4 linked regions of the Schizosaccharomyces pombe genome follow. Changing the gene in region 3 together with the main gene of any one other region gives a genetic interaction. Each region holds a gene or a part of one and is shown on either strand. Other genes may lie near its edges.

The links.
Region 1: mutations in rad57 (region 3) and ask1 together harm fitness more than expected from each alone (negative genetic interaction), as found in Schizosaccharomyces pombe (3 studies listed by BioGRID, with this or other methods).
Region 2: mutations in rad57 (region 3) and clr3 together harm fitness more than expected from each alone (negative genetic interaction), as found in Schizosaccharomyces pombe (2 studies listed by BioGRID).
Region 4: mutations in rad57 (region 3) and rad8 together harm fitness more than expected from each alone (negative genetic interaction), as found in Schizosaccharomyces pombe (3 studies listed by BioGRID, with this or other methods).

The regions. Positions count from the first base shown.
Region 1 is NC_003423.3:1,561,792-1,565,675, forward strand, and holds ask1 (DASH complex subunit Ask1), read right to left. Parts: upstream 1,861-3,884; 5' UTR 1,774-1,860; coding exon 1,757-1,773; intron 1,702-1,756; coding exon 1,554-1,701; intron 1,476-1,553; coding exon 717-1,475; 3' UTR 535-716; downstream 1-534. Other genes in the region: protein trafficking protein Pga2, read right to left, coding at 1-244; protein meu25, read left to right, coding at 2,111-3,884. UniProt on the Schizosaccharomyces pombe protein: Component of the DASH complex that connects microtubules with kinetochores and couples microtubule depolymerisation to chromosome movement; it is involved in retrieving kinetochores to the spindle poles before their re-orientation on the spindle in early mitosis and allows microtubule depolymerization to pull chromosomes apart and resist detachment during anaphase.
Region 2 is NC_003423.3:252,975-257,647, reverse strand, and holds clr3 (class 2 histone deacetylase Clr3), read right to left. Parts: upstream 2,963-4,673; 5' UTR 2,827-2,962; coding exon 763-2,826; 3' UTR 510-762; downstream 1-509. Other genes in the region: cell cycle transcriptional repressor Whi5, read right to left, coding at 3,664-4,338, 4,417-4,500. UniProt on the Schizosaccharomyces pombe protein: Responsible for the deacetylation of lysine residues on the N-terminal part of the core histones (H2A, H2B, H3 and H4).
Region 3 is NC_003424.3:2,121,050-2,125,049, reverse strand, and holds rad57 (DNA recombination mediator, RecA family ATPase Rad57/Rhp57), read right to left. Parts: upstream 2,021-4,000; 5' UTR 1,761-2,020; coding exon 1,694-1,760; exon of another isoform or gene 1,599-1,693; coding exon 601-1,598; 3' UTR 544-600; downstream 1-543. Other genes in the region: whi2 (phosphatase activator), read right to left, coding at 1-58; gpl1 (Gpl1-Gih35-Wdr83 complex RNA-binding subunit), read left to right, coding at 2,842-4,000. UniProt on the Schizosaccharomyces pombe protein: Involved in recombination DNA repair and in the repair of gamma-ray-induced damage.
Region 4 is NC_003424.3:169,931-176,193, reverse strand, and holds rad8 (ATP-dependent chromatin remodeller/ubiquitin-protein ligase E3 Rad8), read left to right. Parts: upstream 1-1,501; 5' UTR 1,502-1,820; coding exon 1,821-5,222; 3' UTR 5,223-5,705; downstream 5,706-6,263. Other genes in the region: rps101 (40S ribosomal protein eS1), read left to right, coding at 423-1,181.

The sequences.
Region 1 (3,884 bases), on a different chromosome or scaffold from region 3:
CTTCCTCATCATCCGTGTCAAATTCTCCATGTTCTTTGGGCTTCGTGCCATGCGTCATTTCCGGATCTAAAGTACCATCTACTTCGCCTTCTAATAAAGATTTTCTATGTTCTCTCTCCTGTATCTTGGCTCCCAACTTCATCAAATATGGCCGGATTAACATATATCCTCCAACATATACGATAATTCGAATCCAGTCCTTCAATGAATATGATTGTAAATAGCCTGCAACGTCAAACCCCATTTTCCTTGCACAAAAAAGAGTGGTGGATACTAAGTTCACCTGTCTGCTCAACCAGGCAAACTATTATTAACCAAGTCACTAAAATTCTTTAGACTTTTTTAGAATTTTTAAAACCTCGTTATTCGTCTTAACGTATATTCTCAATGATATGCTGTAAAAAGATTTATTAATTAGGCTATAATACTAATTTATTTAAAAATTTTATAGTTATTTGCTTTCTTAGTTTATTTTAAAATTATTTTCATACAAATTTTACTTGGTTTACAGTATTTATACCGTGACTTATGATTCTCTTAAAAGAAGAATTTTCCAAATTAAATAGAACGTACAGTAAATAAAAAATTATATAACATAAATATAAGGTGGGATTTTATGAAGTAGACATATGTGCTTAGAAAATAAATAGAAAAAATGCGAAAGTAAGGTTCACTACTAAAGGCGAAACGAAGGTGATAACTTCAGCAGTGCTTTATCAGAGTTCCCAACTATCTTCTTCTTTGACAAAACTATCATTAGAATCATTCAAGGTTTCTAATTTCCTCTGCAAAGACAGGCTTCGCTCGTTGGCTTGCTGAGAAGAACCCACCCCCATGGTATGCGGGCTGAATTGGATAGTTTTAGGTGGAGACATTCCACTTGGGTTAATGCTATCATAGCTTTCATGCTCAAATTCTGCAAATAAAGAAAGAGCATGCGAAGAGTTTCTATCGTTAAGTGAAGGCATGTCCATTTTCATTGATATGGGAGAAGGCGATACAAAAGGAGAAGAATCAATATCCATTACTTCTTGAGATTGCAAATTCTTAGGCTCACGTGGAGTCACTTGTACTTGCCAATTTGTATCTAAAACGCGATGCAGAAGGGCACTACGACCTGTATGAGGATTATTTTCTGGTTTTCTTAGCGGAGTCTGCATCCTTGCCGGGATGGGGGTCAAAGCTGCATCATCTAACGAAATATCCTCTAAGGAGACATCCATCTTCTTAGGAGTGGACTGTACAAAATCCTCGTTTTTTGTATTATCTCCTTGTACAGCTGCATCGGGAAAATCAGATTTTCCGACAAAAGAATGCCTCTTTTCCAAATGTTCATTCTTTGTGTGCAGCTGTAGGTCCGCCTCTGTAGAATTAGACATAACATCTTGATCGCTTGGATTGGATTCTACTGGAACAGGTTCCTCTACACCCGAAAGTGAAACATTGGCACTTGCTTCAAAAAACTGCTTCCAAAACTGTTTTCTGTTAGCTTAATTCTTAAAATAATACAAATTACAAGCTGAATCATGAGTGGCAGTTGCCATTGAACATACTTTTGAAGAGTCCCATATAGTGTTACAATTTTTTGCGTATTTTTCCACGATAGGCAAGATTTTGGTAGTCACTGTTCGATGACATTTAGAAAAATTTGCATCAATTTCGTAAAGTGCTAGAGTAATCGATTGTTCCAATCGTTCTAATCTAATTCTTTTGTTAGAGAATGTTTATCTACAGTCGCGACAAGTTTACTGCATACTGTTCCAAATTGTTCATAAGAATGACATCTAATACTCATAAAAACTTTGAAAATATTATTTCTTAGTATAGAAACTCTCAATGGTGAAATTTATGGCGAACTGCAACTGAGGTGTAGGTATACTAGCGTCCATTATTAGCGATGTTTCGTAAAGTAAACAAGTTAAATTGGCAATATACAGTGAGATTTTTGTAAGTTCAAGATAATACTAATACAATCATTGTTGAGTAATAAATATGAATTTTAAAGTTTTGTTTACTTTCCTCAGTGGACTAAATGCAGACTGCAATGATCAAATGATCCATAGTAAACAAACATTCAACTTGTCTTTTGCCAGCATCCTCAAGATCCAAAATGAGTAGTATCTTTGGAGAGAATATTGTTTCAGATAGTATAGTAAATATGGAGTTGACGAACCCTGATAATACTACGACTATGCATCCCATCTATGAAACTAACATTGAAAAGGAAGTCCAGCAGGAGTTTTCTGACAATGTCTCTGAAAAAGAAACGATTGACTCAACTAAAAGCAAAATATCTTTAGAAAATATACAGCAAGAAATGGGAGCACTTGCCAAGAAAATTTTTCATAAATTAGGGGTTAAAGCAACCGACTTGGGATTTTCTAATGAGCATGATGACTCGCAGGATTCATTACAGACACTAGCGCCTTCTCCATCATATGTTCCACTTTTGAAGGTTATTGGAAGCTCTGAGGAGGTCAATAGCAACTTGGTATTAACCGACTTGGAAACAAATACTGATGGATATGATCCTAAATTTTTGATTTCTGTTAGGAAGTTTTTGATGGGATCTCCCAACTCTGGCTTTGTCGTTAAACATGAGAAACGTCTTCCAGATGGACCGCGTGTTCTGGCCCTTCGAGCCATTTCATCAGTCGATGAAGAAAATAGAAAAGAGCGCCTATCTCCTGATAGTGATCCTGTTGAAACAGAATCTGTTTATGTTGACAATGGAGAATTGTCAAATCAAAAAGTAGAAACAGTTGAAATTTCCGAAAAAGAACAAAATGATGATCCCGCCGGATATTCTCAATACCTTCTAGAGTTCAAGAAGAGTAAATGTCAAAAGAAAGTGCCGACTTTAGAGAGTATTGAGGAAAATGAAGGAACGGAACCTCATGACAACTTGACCTTTATGACTGATTTGGGAACTCCATACTATTCTCTGGGTAATGAATTTGAAAGAAAGCAAATTTTGGATGAATACGGGTTGCTGGCTAATGATGAAAACCTAGTTATTGGACACACGTTAAGAGCGGAGTATTGCTTTATGTTTGATGAAAGCGATATCCTGCAATTACGCAATTATGAACATACAGAAAAGGAACTTAGTGTCCTTCAATTTAAAGGGGTCTCGTCACGTTGGGATTTTCGTTGCTGTAGAGAAGAACGTTTACTCCGATTGCTACTATGTTTCGACAGTGAACATACTGGGCAATCTTTCATTCAACTGAACGATCCTGAAAATGAAAATGAAAAGGAAGAACAAAATTCCATTAGCATTAGGGAATTATCCTACTTCAGCACAAAACTTATTTCATTGATCTTACCCAAAGAAGCACATAAGCAGCGGTATATCATGCTAAGCTCCTTAGCAAAGACAAGGGAAGCTGATTTCTTTTGGTCTGAAGAGGAAAAAACTAATTATACAAACGAGCTTCTCAGCAACCCATGCAAATTCCTTTGTGAACTAGATCATTTCGATTCATTTCCTCATCAACAACAAGATCTACTCTGGAAGTACTTAGCGGAGTTTTCTGCTAGTTTAGAGTTAGACCCCAACCTTGCCCTTTGGAAGAAGCAAGTTATTTTTTCAAAAATCGGTCATCCGAAGTTGCTGGTTATGCCAATATCTAGTTTCCACTGCGTACAACGTTTCCCTGACCTTGTTTGCGTTCAAACTTCAACTGCTGAAACGTTTTTGTCTGTGGATCGTGAATTAACAACTTATGACCTAAACACTATTAAGTTGTTAAACACAGCACCTAGTCGTACAGCTCAAAACTGGCTTTTTATCATGCATCACCTAGAAATTGTAGGCTATTTATTTCCACATTTGGTTCATCTCGATAAACAGTATAGTTTATTAGATTATGCAAAGTCTG
Region 2 (4,673 bases), on a different chromosome or scaffold from region 3:
AAAAGCCAGCCTTCCTTAATAGTAAAGTTGCTACATTTACAATTACTGTTGACCGGTTATCATTCATGCAATTTGGATTAGTTAAAAAAGTTGAACATCACAGAATCATCCATCATTCATGAAGGTCGTACTGGGAATCGAACCCAGGTCTCGAGAATCAGAATCTCACGTGCTAACCATTACACCATACAACCAAATCAATTTTTTTGTGTGATATAGTTATTAATATTGGAGAATAAGAAAACAATTTAAATGCTGTTTGTACTATGAATCTAATTTTACAATTTAAACAACATACTATAATATTATCCTTTTGCGGTACAAAAAATGGATGAGGGATTTCCCTCAGCTTTAGAGAAATGCTTTTAAGCAAAATTACGACAAAAATCAACAATAGTTGTTTGAACTAAAATAATATCACGGATTTGAGGAGCTTTATTTTATAAAACAATATTATAACCTTATTTATTTAATTATATTGAACATGAATAAAATGAAGCCAGCAATAACAATAAACCATTTGTGTATACATTCTACTGGAAAATAAAGTCAAAATCCACCAACCTTGAGAATAATGAGCTCGAATTAAAGTATAAGTAAAAGAGACAAAGCAGCTTAGCAGATTGAGTACGAATCATTCAGCGGGTTTGGCAAATCATGAATGTCCGTTATAAATTTTAACGTAGATAACTTAAGGAGGTTAAATGTGTGACAATTAAAAGAATAGAAAACCATGAAAAAATCATAAGTCAATAACGAATGTTACTGAGAAGTTGGTCGGGCCTTTTGAAGCAAATGCAGCAAGTATTGAGTAACCGCTCGATAGTGTTGCTCCATCATGTCCGAAGTTTCAGTATGTTCACTTTGCATAAGTCGTCCATATCTTCTTTTAGCACGCTTTGCCTTTTTCCAGCACTCATTACTAGAACTCACAAACACGAGTGAATGACGATAATACCACGTTGGAAGATCTTCCTCTGATGCCGTTTTAAGACCCACCAAAGGTTCAGTGCCAAGGAAATTCACCATACACTTAACTCTGTCTGACACATTCCTGGAAGATGCCAAATTAACCAATCCATGTACCGCTTTGCCTCCACCGATGAAAAAAATATTTTTTGAAATCGACAACTCAACATAATTATCCCATACATAAAGACAAAGTTCTTTCACTTCAGAAAGAATGTCAACCGGTGCATTTTCACCGTCCGTAACCACTTCAGGTATATTTATGTCGATAAGCCCCCAGTCCTGTTGCATAGCCCATTCAACATAAAGGCTCACGGGATCTACTAAAAGCGAATCATTTAAATTCAAAACGTTCGTTTCACTAGTTCCATTACCCAGGACTCTAGGAGATTCATGGACAATAACGAGAAGGTTATCTTTTTGAAAGAAATTGCTAGAGCACAGTACTTGATTGTTGAATACATTGGAAACGGAATCCCTTAGTATTGGCATATTGGTAATTTTCCAGTCTTCGAAAAGTTTTTTAGCTTGATAAGTTCGAATAACATCATGTAATCGATCTACATGGGCATCCTTAGGATTTGCGTCGAAGTGTTTCGGCCTCATACATCTCCAGTATTGGGATTGTATTTTGGTTACATGGTTGATGGTAGCAACGGCCTGTGGACATGCATATGTTGTATGCAATCGTCCAGGAGGAATTCCCAACAAACTTTGGGCTACAGCTAAGGCTGATGTGCTTATAGAATCCAAATTATAACCTCCCTCAAGGGAGATAAAAACTTTCCCATCTGCTAATCCCATTAACATTTGTGTCATATGAGCATAGGCAGCTGGAGTTAACAAGAATTGACCAATGTGATCTCCTGCAGCAGCATCAAAGCCGCAACTTACAATAACTAAATCTGGATCAAATTCATAAGCAACAGGCATTACGACGCGCTGAAAAGCGTATATATAATCACCATCTCCCATGCCAGCACAACTCCAAGGAATATTTACAGTTCTACCCAATCCCGGGCCCTCTCCACAATTTTCTGCACACCCATAATTGGTGCCAGGATAGAAACGACCATTTTCATATCGATGCAAAGAAACGTATAGAACATTTGGATCGTCATAAAAAGCCATTTGCGTACCATTTCCATGGTGTATATCCCAGTCGACAATCAATACTCTTTTTATTTTATCCGGAAAGCGTTGTAGCATACTCCTTGCGGTTACAGAAACATTGTTGAATAAACAAAAGCCACCAGGTTTATGGGGTTCTGCATGATGGCCAGGAGGGCGAACAACTGCGAAGGCATTTTTTACTTGACCAGTTACGACAGCCGTACATGTTTCAATTGCGCTACCACAAGCCAATCGAGCACAAAACGCACTTTCGTTATTATAGTATAGAGAATCACTGATTTTTTCGAGATTGGCCAAATCCTCATGAGACATTTTTTCGGTATTAGTAACCCTATCATACATTTCCTGTGAATGAACTTGTAATAACTCTTCTAAAGTAGCTTCTCTAGCCGGAATCCGTAAAAATACATCTGACGGACTCGGCACATTAGATACATAACCGGCCTTCTTTATAGCTTCAAAAACACGAAGGACGCGTCTTGGATCTTCAGGATGGTCATCCACTTCACTTAGAGTGGCATGGAATCTCATTCGAGGATCATAGCATAATCCAGATTTTTTCAAGATTTGCGACATTTCATGGGATTCGTTATTTAATGTATTTTCACTTCCAGACATTGGTTTATTGTTTGTCAAAAGAATAGACCATGGAGTTACCGTGTTTACAGCATCATCGGATGGTTTTACAGAAGTAGATGCACCATCAGAATTAGAGGCCAGCATTCGTTTTCTATCGCCCTTAAAAAGGTCAATCAATTAATAAATTAATAAAAAAATCTCCTATTAAACAACTCCCTCATAAAACTGTCGAAACACTTTTTGAAGCGCGGCTCACTCGATATAGGTAGTTTTGGTCGTCAAAACTGTTGCTGGTACTTCTAAGACATAAGTATAGAGGAGCAATGAGAGAATATAATCTCAACCATGCTAACAAAGGAGTTTGTTTGGTAAAGAATAAAAATGTAAGTAATTAAGACGTTTAGTAAGGCTTTAAATAGAAGATTGATCCTGAACGTATGGAGATTGAGAAAAAATAGAGTTTGTAATGAGGCTCATGGGAGGGTCTTATTTTTATTTATTTATTTATTTTATTTTCTTAGAAACTTAAAAATAGCTTTGTCTCGAGCCATACTTCGAAATGAATGCATAATTTTGCGAGTTCGCGAATTTCCATTATCTTATATAATAATCATTTCAAATCATAAGGATCAAGATGTAGGAAGAACGTTAATAAATACATGGTAAATAATGTTTCTATGATCTTTAAGACTGTTGTACGCCCGGAAACATTCACCCTTTGTCATAAACATCATTAAGCATTATCACAATTTGGCTTGTACATATCAAGCATTTAAACATATAGAGGGTTAATAGCTCATCAACCATAGGACTGGAGACGGATAGCAAGAAATAACAAAACTTCTCAAACGAGATTTTTCCAAAAATTCTTCAGCAGGATGTGAACAATCAATCTATTCATCCAAATTATAGATTAACTCTCATGAAATAATTATGTAATTTTATATCTTAATGCTCGTATACCATCTAAAATGAAGGATGTTATGGTTTTTTCGAAGGCATAGAATTCACCAACGTAAGCATAACTTCAGCTGCCTTGCAATCATCTGCCGATAGGGGATAAGCCGTTGGAAAAGGAAGACTCGTGGACTTGCGAATTCTACTGAGGTTTGCAGTGCCAAGGCGAAGAGACTCATCGGTTTCTTCAGGGCGTGAAATATGGTAATTCATTCCGAACAGTGGAGATTTAGCTGAAGCAGTGGAGGCATGGCTAAGTTCAAATGGCAGTCTGGGTAGCTCAGTATGAGGCTCAACGTAGTTCAACCAAGGAGGACTAGTTCTATCAAAAGACGAGGACGTAGAAGAAACAGCACTAGAAGATGAGTAAGGAGATACAGGCTTCTTATAAGGAAGCTGAGCGAAGCCCTCTCTTGGGCTCACCAATCGCGTAAATGAACTTGCACGCAGCTTGCCTGTATTCGATCCCATAATTGAGTTGGGGTGATGCGGCCTTCTTAGCTTAGAAGAGTCCAAGTCATTGATCGAGCGTGATCTACGATGAACGTGATTTTCCTTACGAACAAGCGTTTCCACTTGATCTAATGTCTGATCTTCCCATCCATGATCGACCTTAAAAAACGCTGCCTTCAAACGAGCCCTAAGTTTGTTTGATAACTTGTATTCAAAAGTTAATGACAATTCGCAACGATTTTTATGCTAAACCAAAATTATTCATCGACGATTCTATTTGTATCGTCGAGATGTTACCTAATTGTGTTTGCGTAATTGACATACCTTGCTTAATGATTCATCGTATTTTTGTTGAATAACTTCATCAGTCTGCCTTGTAGCTTCATTTTTCTTGTGGCCGCCTGCCATGAATTAATATTTGTTGAGTTCGTCTGTATGCAGGTATATAAAAATGACGAGTTATTAGCCTATTCGAATTCTCCTTTCGATAAATTCCTTTTATAATATCCAATTGCAATCAAATAATCCTCCGTATAGCATATAATTGTTTCAATTGAAACAAGACGCGTTGAACGATGTGT
Region 3 (4,000 bases):
TTTCCAGTGTATTGGCTAAAGTGTCAACCGTATTGATTCGATCAATTGGAACTGACATTTTTGTGTTCTATTTTTGTAACGATTATGTTATAAAAGAATGTTCATTTTTTATTTACAAGATATCACCAATGCATACTTGGCTTTTGGTAAAAATGTTAGGTGCAAATTTCTAAAGGATCGCCAATAGCGGAAGCTATCGGAAAGGTCTTACAAAATCTTTTACGCGCAATAGTAAAAACAGGTAGAAAAAGCCATTCGTCGGTTAAGAGAGCTCTTTGGGCATTCTTTGTTACGTGTAAAACTTTTTATTGTATTTTTTTCCATTTCAATACCCAACTGGTATATCCAAAATTCAGTCCACTAAAGTATGTCGGATTCTAATAAAAATGCACTACCATCATAGATCAACAAAATATATATTTAATAGTGACAGAGGTAATATAAATATAAAGATAAATAAGTACACTTATATATGTAACAGTTACTCAAAGCATTACTTTTCTTTCTGCGAATGATTGATAAGCGACAGTCGATTAAACAAAGTTAGGGCAATTCATAAACCGGTTTTATTATATTATATATAAAATTTTTACAAAAATGCTAGCACGAATATATCCCAACCGATCCTATGCATATTCGTACGTCAAGCCTTGGAGAATTTGGTGAATAAACAACCCGAAAGATTCTCCCCGAATTATTGGTGGCAGAGTCGGTTTTCTTAATTAATGCTAATCTCGTACTGATGTTATTAGTCCAAACGAGACCAAGAGATGGTATTTTGGGATTTGGATCTGTGTCATCCCATCCCGAAAACCATTGCGATTGATAATCTAAACTAAACAACCCAATAGCATCATAATCTCTAGGAATTCTATCGCTAACTTGGTTAGCTATGACAACAGCAGCTTCATGTTGATGAGCTAAAGTGCGTAGAGTCATAGCTAACTTTCCCAATTGATTTCCACGTTTGGCAATATTATCTAAATCTCTAAAATGACTTTTGGATCGGTTGTAACGGAGCTCAGCTCTGTAGTTGGAGGCGACACTATCCAATATAACCAACCCAATTTTATCCCGATTGAATAAAATCGGCAGTTGATACTGAATGATATGTTCTTGAGATTCCAGATCTGGGCATAATATAGTATACACCCTATCTCCTGGATTTTTTATAATTATGTCTTTCTTATCAGCTTTGGGATACCTTTCTGGTAAATAACGCGCCAGTTCAAATAATCGTTTTGTTTCAAGACCGGACTCTGTAGAAATGAAGACAGCTGCTTTGTTCATTCCTCCTAAACTGAGAGGTAGTTGAACCATTAAACAAAGCTGCATACAAAACTGTGACTTCCCTGAACCGCTTTCACCACATATTTCAGTTAACTGTCCTACTGGTATACCTCCATGTAGAGTTTCATCCAACTTTACATCGCCAGTTGTCAAATATTTCGAAGTGACTTTGGAAGCAGAACATCTTACTGGTTGAAGAAGGAGGGATATCTGCTCAATTAACTGTAATAACTCACTTTGACTACAATGTGTGCGTCTTTCTAGCTCAGTAATATCCAGCGTTAACAAATCAACCGTGCTTACTTCTCCTAAAGCTGTCAGTAATTCCGTCTTTTAAGATCCCGGTACAAAAACCCAATATTTTTTTTTTATGTGCAAGCTTATTGAACTACTAAACGCTTACCTAATTCAAATGCTGAAGCAATTTTCTCATCAAAGTAGAAATTGTCAACATAATTCGAAATATCCATCCATATAGTAGAAAGAAAGAAGATTTTTAATTGTAAATATGATATGTATAGTTTTTACTCATAAAGATAAATGAAAATTATATCCACACCATAGAATATTCGAAAGTTGATAGTTTTATATAATGAACAGCTTTGTATCCTACGATTGAATTAAATTCTCACGATTATTTAGAAGTAATAGCACGAACTTCTAACCCACTTTTTCGCAGAAAGAAACGGTAATTTATGTACCACTATAGAAGTGGTGAGTCGAAGATGTTGTACGCGAATTACAACTGACCTGCCAATACCTCTATGTTTAGTAATTATAATCCTTATGAGAAGAAGCCCCGCAATCGACGAATATTTATATGAACATTGGTTTTTATAGAACATTAGCATAGTAACCGCTTACACTTATTTTTTTAACATCTTCAAACCATACATCTATGAAAAACCCCACGTAATGATACACATACTTGCCTAACCACCATTCCTTAATTGATAATTAAGTTATCAAGATATGTGAAATTATATAAGCAGCATATCCAAATGTGTATTGCTCATTAATTGTTAGGCATTAAAATTCGTAGTATGGTTGAGCAAACGAAGTATAAGAAATGATGTTTTACCAATCAACCGACGATAATTCGCTCAGTTTACCAGCTACCAACAAATTTCTTAGTTTATGAATGCTTGGTTCAACATGAAGTAATACTAAATAGAACTTTGTTGAGATTTCTCAATAACAGACAAAATATACATGATACATTTTTCATCTCATGAAACTTCAACTGTACAAAGAATTAGGTAATAGATAAATAACGTACCCTAACGCTCGCAGATTGCACTACGGAGGCAGCTGAAATTCGAAGCAAGGGCAACTGTTTAAAAATTGAGTATTGTAATTGCTTTTGTCAACAAATCAGAATTCTTTGATAAGTTATCTGGCTTTATTAAAAATTAAAAGTTGCTCAACATAGTATTCTTGTCGCCTCAAAAATAATGGGCTTATAGTATCCTAAAATATGCCTTAAATTTTGAATTTTGAATTTTTTTTTTTTCAGTTTAACTACGGATCACGATTACTTCTTGTTTTAAAATGTATGCCAATTCAAGAAAAAGAAGCAATGTCGATGTTCATCGGCACCCTTATGTAGTTTATGGCTCCCCTTTTGATCTTGAGCCGTCCAGAATTAATCAAGGAGTTCCTGTTTGGAAACAAGAAGCCAGGGATGAGCGTAATAGAAAGAGATTTCATGGTGCATTTACTGGTGGATTTTCTGCTGGCTATTTTAATACGGTTGGTTCAAAAGAGGGTTGGCAACCTAAATCTTGGAAAAGTTCAAGGAATGAAAACAAAAGTGTGCATGGAATGACTATTGACGATATTATGGACGAGGAAGATCGTGCTGACCAAGAGCTTAGTAAAGTTTATACTTCGAAAATAAATACGATTGATACATCTATACCAATTGATGATCCTCTACTTAGAGAATTCTCAAATAGGGACGATAGCATTGGCGAAAAAATGTTAAAAAATCTTGGATGGAACGGTCATGATTTTGTTATATCTCCATTTCAAGGGTATTATGATGACACTAAGTTAACCAACCAAGCTTATCACGGTATCGGGTATCAAGCGGACGATGTTTTTCAGCTGGAAAGAAAACCAGTTGGAATGGCAAAAAATCTGCGCGGTGGATTTGGATCAGGTGTTTTAAATGATGATGGGATAGAAGATCAAGATATATACGACCTCGGTGCTCCAAAAATGCGGTATGATAAATCTATCAACATTACAAAAAAAGTCGCTTCTCCATTTACACCCGTTAAGCATACCTTTCTGTCAAAAAAAGACAGAAGCAAAGGGAAAAGCATAATCAAATCGCAAAATTGCTCAGATGGTCTACCTCCCCTTCCAGGATTTGTAGTGGTATTTAATTTACAATCACCTTTTCAAAATAATTGGTTTCCTCCTCCTACAATACCTGAGGGTTGGGAGCCAAAACTTTTTACAAATTCTCAAGGATTTTCACAAAAAAAAGCCCAAACTTCAAATGAGCGCTTACCACTTTTTGCTGAGAAAAGTGAAACAAATTCCAACGGTGAAGCAAGTTTACCTAGTGATGTTAATCATGGTGTCAAGGAAGATGAGGGATCTTGGCAACTAATTGACATTGAGACAGCTAAAAATGCAATGTCTAGGAAAGATAATCCCTATAACGATGAGCGTGCCGGAATTTACGAGATTTTCCTTA
Region 4 (6,263 bases), 2.0 Mb from region 3:
GTTTTGTTCGCACTTTAATGAAATTGTACTATATGATTGACATACTACAAATGCATACCAACGCTAACAGCGTCCTGATGAAAAATCATTTTTTGAGTGCACAAAAAATAAATAGAAGTTTTCCATCCCTGCAGTGCCGCGATTCGACATGTAACTTGAAAATGGCAAATAGTCAGTTACCACTAGAACAATATATTCAGCTATGAACTAAACTTGTAGTATACGGATACCAAAAATAGAAGTAATTTGTCAAACAAGAATAAAAACTTTTCTAACTAAAAAACTAATTTAACAAACAAAAAAGCTTCACACCAATTATCAAGACTTAAGATTCAATAAATTGTCTTAAAACCAAAAAAGCAGTCACGGTCAGTTTGTTAGGGACATTGAAACAACGAAGGCTTCTCCTACACCATACCGCAATGGCAGTTGGTAAAAATAAAAGACTTTCAAAGGGAAAGAAAGGAATTAAGAAGCGTGTCGTTGACCCCTTCTCTCGTAAGGACTGGTACGATATCAAGGCTCCTGCTTTCTTTGAAGTCAAGAACGTTGGTAAAACCCTTGTCAACCGTACAGCCGGTTTAAAGAATGCCAATGATTCTTTGAAGGGTCGTATCTTGGAAGTCTCTCTTGCTGATCTTCAAAAGGATGAGGAACACTCATTCCGTAAGGTCAAGCTTCGTGTTGAGGACATCCAAGGTAAGAGCTGCCTCACCAGCTTTAACGGTTTCGATATGACCTCTGACAAATTGCGTTCTTTGGTTCGCAAATGGCAATCTACTATTGAGGCCAACCAAACCATCAAGACCACCGATGGTTACCTTTGCCGTATCTTCGTTATTGGCTTTACTAGCCGTCGTGTCAACCAAGTCAAGAAGACTACTTATGCTCAATCTTCTCAAATTCGTGCCATTCACCAAAAGATGTTCCAGGTCATCCAAAACCAAGCCAACGGTTGTTCCATGAAGGAGCTTGTCCAAAAGCTCATTCCTGAGGTTATTGGCCGGGCTATCGAGAAGGCCACCAACAACATTTATCCCTTGCAAAACGTTTTCGTTCGTAAGGTAAAGATCTTGAAGGCTCCCAAGCACGACGCCCAAAAGCTTCTTGAATTACACGGTGAGTCTCAAGACGTTGGTTCCAAGGTCATTTCTGATGTTGCTCCTTTGGAGTCTGTTTAAATTTAATAAAATTATGTGATCTTGCCGGTGTATTATATGAATTAAGGGCCTAGTTTATAGTGTCTAATTTACTCTTCTAGCAGGAAATTTAAAAGTATATTTTTATAATAACGTTGGCACATTTTAAGTAATTTGTAAACTTATATCTGCACAAAATAATCACCTTAAATTAAGAGAGTCATGTGCGTTTACTTTCATTTTTCTCCTTTTAGAAAATGCATATCATATTACATTGTTGTTATTCAATTTACTGAGGTTTACTATAGTGCATTAAATAAGAATAGATTAAAATGGTAATTTCGCGTTTTTCCAGTTCCTCCAAGATTTAGCCAGCGAGCTATTTCTATAATTATTAGATTTTCCTCCCCAAATATTCAACTTTTTTAGAGTCTCCTTTCATCATTTATAATCCTATTAGAATATTTAAATTAAAAGAATTCAAATGTTTGCTCATTAGAGAAGTTGGATCTACTAGTTAACGGACTTGGTGAATTGTTTAAAAAGTTGTTAAATTTGTTTATATCAAGCAATTTTTAAAAGTTATTTTTGGTTGTCAAATTATACATGTTATTTTATATTTCTACAGTTTTTGGTAGCTTAAAGTTTGGATAAGCAAACATTACCAAGAAACTCAATAAAATGAAAAGAAAGGTACAAAAAATTATAGATGAAGCCCCTTTAGAAGAAAATTCTCCTCCTCGATTTTTTGATTCAGATGTTGAAGCTGACTCTAAACCGAATGATTTAACTGCTGCGAATTCCATCGTAGACTTAAAAACAAATTCTCAACATGAAAATGCTAACGCAGCAGGCAAGGAATATGGAGATAGTGGAGTTTCAGAGTCATGGGTTTTAGACTTTTTATCTGTCACTGGTGAAAAAACAATTTCGGAATTTTTAGCTCAAAAAATTTGGAAAACCTCGAATGGAGATTTGAATGTCGCCGTTGATATGTATTTTGATGAATCCTTTAATATAAAGAATTCGAATCCTGACAGTGAAAGTCAGAAAGACACTGATGCCTCGTTGACCCAGATGGACCAATTATCTAATACTGTATCCGTTAAGGATCTTAGTATTAATAGGAACACAAATAAAAAAGCCTTAAATGCTGTTAGCCCTTCATTGAATTTGTCATCTAACAGTTCTGTTCAAGATGTATCTATTGATAAAGAAGAAATGATGAAGAAGCAATCACGGAATGCTCTTACTCCGCTGGACTTTATTATGAAGAAGAATGAGTTGATGAAGTATATCGGATGCTTTGGTGTGGAGGCTTATTCAACTGCATCAGGTACTCGAACACTCCAGGCTGGCGAAAGGATCTATTTAGAACGTCAAAAACTTTCCATAAAATCACAATCGAGAAATTCTAGGAAAAAATCAAAATTGCTAAGCATTAATTCTTCATGCTATAGCAATATCGTTAGATTTTGTAATTCAGATCATCATGAAATTGGTAAATTACCTACTGAAGTCGCTTCTGTTATTTCAACGTTGATGGAGCAAGGTTTTTGGTCATTTGAAGCCATATGCATTTACTCCGACAATATAATTAGATTTGGGAGTAATGTCACTTTACAAGTTTATTGTTTTATCAATGTCAATCATCCGTCCTTGAACCGATCTCCATTCACTTTGGCAACTAATTCTATGCAAGAAGAGGAAGAACATTTAAAAGCCTCTTTTGCTCAAAATAAACGTGATCATTTACTTCGTTTGTTTACTTGGATAGCTTTGGAACCAGACCTTGAAGACTGCAACACTAAAGAGAGTATTCATATTGATGATATATTGAAAACAAGTTCATTGCCTGAAGCGAGGGACGAGAGTAACTCAGATCTAACCCCATCCTCAACTGAAGACGAGGAAGATGTTGTTAGCGACCAACTTGCTATATTATATGACAAAGTTAAAACTTCTGGAGCTGAATTGCCGTCTGCTCCAAAGCCATCAACGTTTGCTCTTGATCTTCGTGAGTATCAAAAACAGGCTTTGTATTGGATGTGTTGTAAAGAAGAGGGCGTACAAAGTGATGGTAGTGCACCTAAGCTTCATCCTTTGTGGAGTCGATTTCGATTTCCAAAGGACTCAGAATTCCCTGAATTCTTTAAATGTTCTAGTGATGATGACAACACACATTTTTACGTTAACTTATATACTGGCGAAACTACAATGTTGTTTCCGAATTCAATGCCTTATCATCGGGGTGGAATTTTAGCAGACGAAATGGGCTTAGGCAAAACGATTGAAGTATTATCACTTATTCATTCTAGACCTTGCTTTTCAACCGATGAAATACCAGAAGCCTTTAGACATTCTAAACCCAGCCTTCCTGTCGCCAGTAGGACGACTTTGGTAGTAGCACCTATGTCATTGTTAGATCAATGGCACTCCGAAGCTTGTAAGGTGTCTCAAGGCACCAAATTCAGAAGCATGATTTATTATGGTTCTGAAAAGCCTTTGGATCTGAAGTCTTGTGTTATTGATACATCCACAGCTCCCTTGATCATCATAACTAGTTATGGTGTGTTACTTTCAGAATTTAGTCAGCAATCTCATTCTTCGGGATTGTTTTCTGTGCATTGGTTCCGTGTTGTCCTTGATGAAGGACATAACATTAGAAATAGGGAAAGCAAAACCGCGAAAGCGTGTCATAGTATTTCGTCCCAGAATCGTTGGGTGATTACAGGTACGCCAATAGTCAATAAACTGGATGACTTGTATAGCTTGATTAAATTTATGCGATATGAGCCGTGGTGTAATTACACTTATTGGCAAACCTTTGTGAGTCTGCCATATCAGTCAAAAGATGTCTTAAAGGCGTTGAATGTTGTTCAATCAATTTTGGAGTTTTTAGTTTTGAGAAGAACCAAAGAAACTAAAGATAGAAACGGAAACTCAATTGTTACGTTACCTCCAAAAACCGTAAAAATTGAATATTTGGACTTTTCTGACTCAGAAAGGAAAATTTATGACTCTCTCTATACCAAAGCAAAAAGTACCGTTAATGCAAACATAGTTGCCGGAACGCTGTTCAGAAACTATACAACGATCCTCGGATTACTTTTAAGATTAAGACAGGCGTGTTGTGACCCTGTGCTTCTTTCCAATATGACCATTAACAGTGAAACGTTTGATGATTTTGAGTTTTCGGTTGAGCAATTTAATTCTTTAATTAATCAATTTGTTGTCACTGGAAAGCCCATTCCTTCAGATATTTTAAAAATTGATACACTGAAGTCTTTTGAAGCATTGATAACGGAATGTCCCATATGTTGTAATGAACCAATTCAAAATCCCTTGTTATTGAACTGCAAGCATGCTTGTTGCGGAGATTGTTTGTCAGAACATATTCAGTATCAAAAAAGAAGAAACATAATTCCTCCGCTTTGTCATACATGTCGTCAACCCTTCAATGAGCAAGATGTCTATAAACCTTTTTTTGTCAAAAATAACGGAACACAGTCTACGCTTTTAGTCGGTGAGGAAGTAAAATGGAAATATTGGAATAGGCTACAATCAGTGAAACTTAATGGCCTTTTAGGACAATTGCGTCAATTAACTCATAGTTCTGAACCTGAAAAGGTCGTTATCTTTTCACAGTTTACCACATTCCTGGATATTATCGCAGACGTTCTCGAGTCAGAGAAGATGGGGTATGCTAGATTCGATGGTACCATGTCACAACAAATGAGGTCGACGGCTTTAGAGACATTTCGAAATGATCCTGATGTTAACGTGCTGATTATCTCTTTAAAGGCAGGCGGGGTTGGTTTAAACCTTACTTGTGCCAACCATGTTTTTATTATGGATCCATGGTGGAGCTGGTCAGTGGAAGCACAGGCCATCGATCGTATTCATCGTTTAGGACAGGAAAAGCCTGTATTTGTGACGAGATATATTGTACGTGATACTGTTGAGGAAAGGATGCTCAAAATACAAGAACGCAAAAATTTTATTACTGGGACCCTGGGCATGTCGGAAGGAAAGCAGCAGGTTCAGTCAATTGAAGACATCAAAATGTTGTTTGAATATTAACAACGGTTTCACCAAGCCGATTAAAAGCTATCGTAAAAAAAAAGTATTTTCATATTATGCATATGAAATGCAATTGCTACCGTGGTCGTTGTCATGACTGTCAAATTCTAAGAGAGTATGTGATAAACAAACTGCGTTACAAGATAAATTATAAACTATCTACACCCCTTGGATTTGTTGATTCACGTCTATCACTAATGAATGCGAAATAGTCGAATTCGGTGCATAAGTAACAAAAGTATTAAGGAACGACAGTTTACCCTGGAGCTATACAATCTAAAGTAGTGAATGTGTAATACTTTATTCCATTTTTTGAACTCATAAATTTCCTTGGATGACTTACTTTTTTGTATTCATGATGTTGTTGCTGAGTATCATGGGCAAGGGAATATAAGTTTTAGCTGCTGCAGTGTAAAGGCTGGCTAATGTTTTGTTCAGTATATTAGAGATAGGTATAATTGTTAACTTTTATTCGATTTTTTTATTATTGTTAACCTTGTTAAATAGTAGTAGCGATTGTGATGGAAATCCGGTCACAGAAAGAAAGCGATGTGTATAATTCAACTATATTGGTCAGCCTCTCTCTTTGTTGAAAAGTCGAAGTAGTTGTTTAATAAGGTCAAGATATTTTGATGAAATCAGTGACACAAAATTAAATCCGAATATTTTAGCTAAGTTTTCATTCCATAAATTTCATTTTTCTAATAGCTACCCGTAGAAAGTTTTATAAGCAAGTAACGTGCCGGTTGCTGGGTTATAAAAATTTAGGCAAGGTTACGGTTGTCTCTACCATCGGCAAAGGAGCCGACGTTAATAAAATATTTAACAAAGCCTTTAAAAAATTAACGATAGCTAGTCAAAGGAAGCTTAACGCGTATTCAGCCTCATTAAGACAATCAGGAAGCTTTTTTTTACCATCAGCATATACCTCTAACCCTTTGATTTATTTTTATATCTCGAGATTTCGTTCGTTATTTTATAGGTCGTTTCGATAAGACCTTAATACAATCTGATTTAGTGGTTGTTTAAGATTTCGGAAAA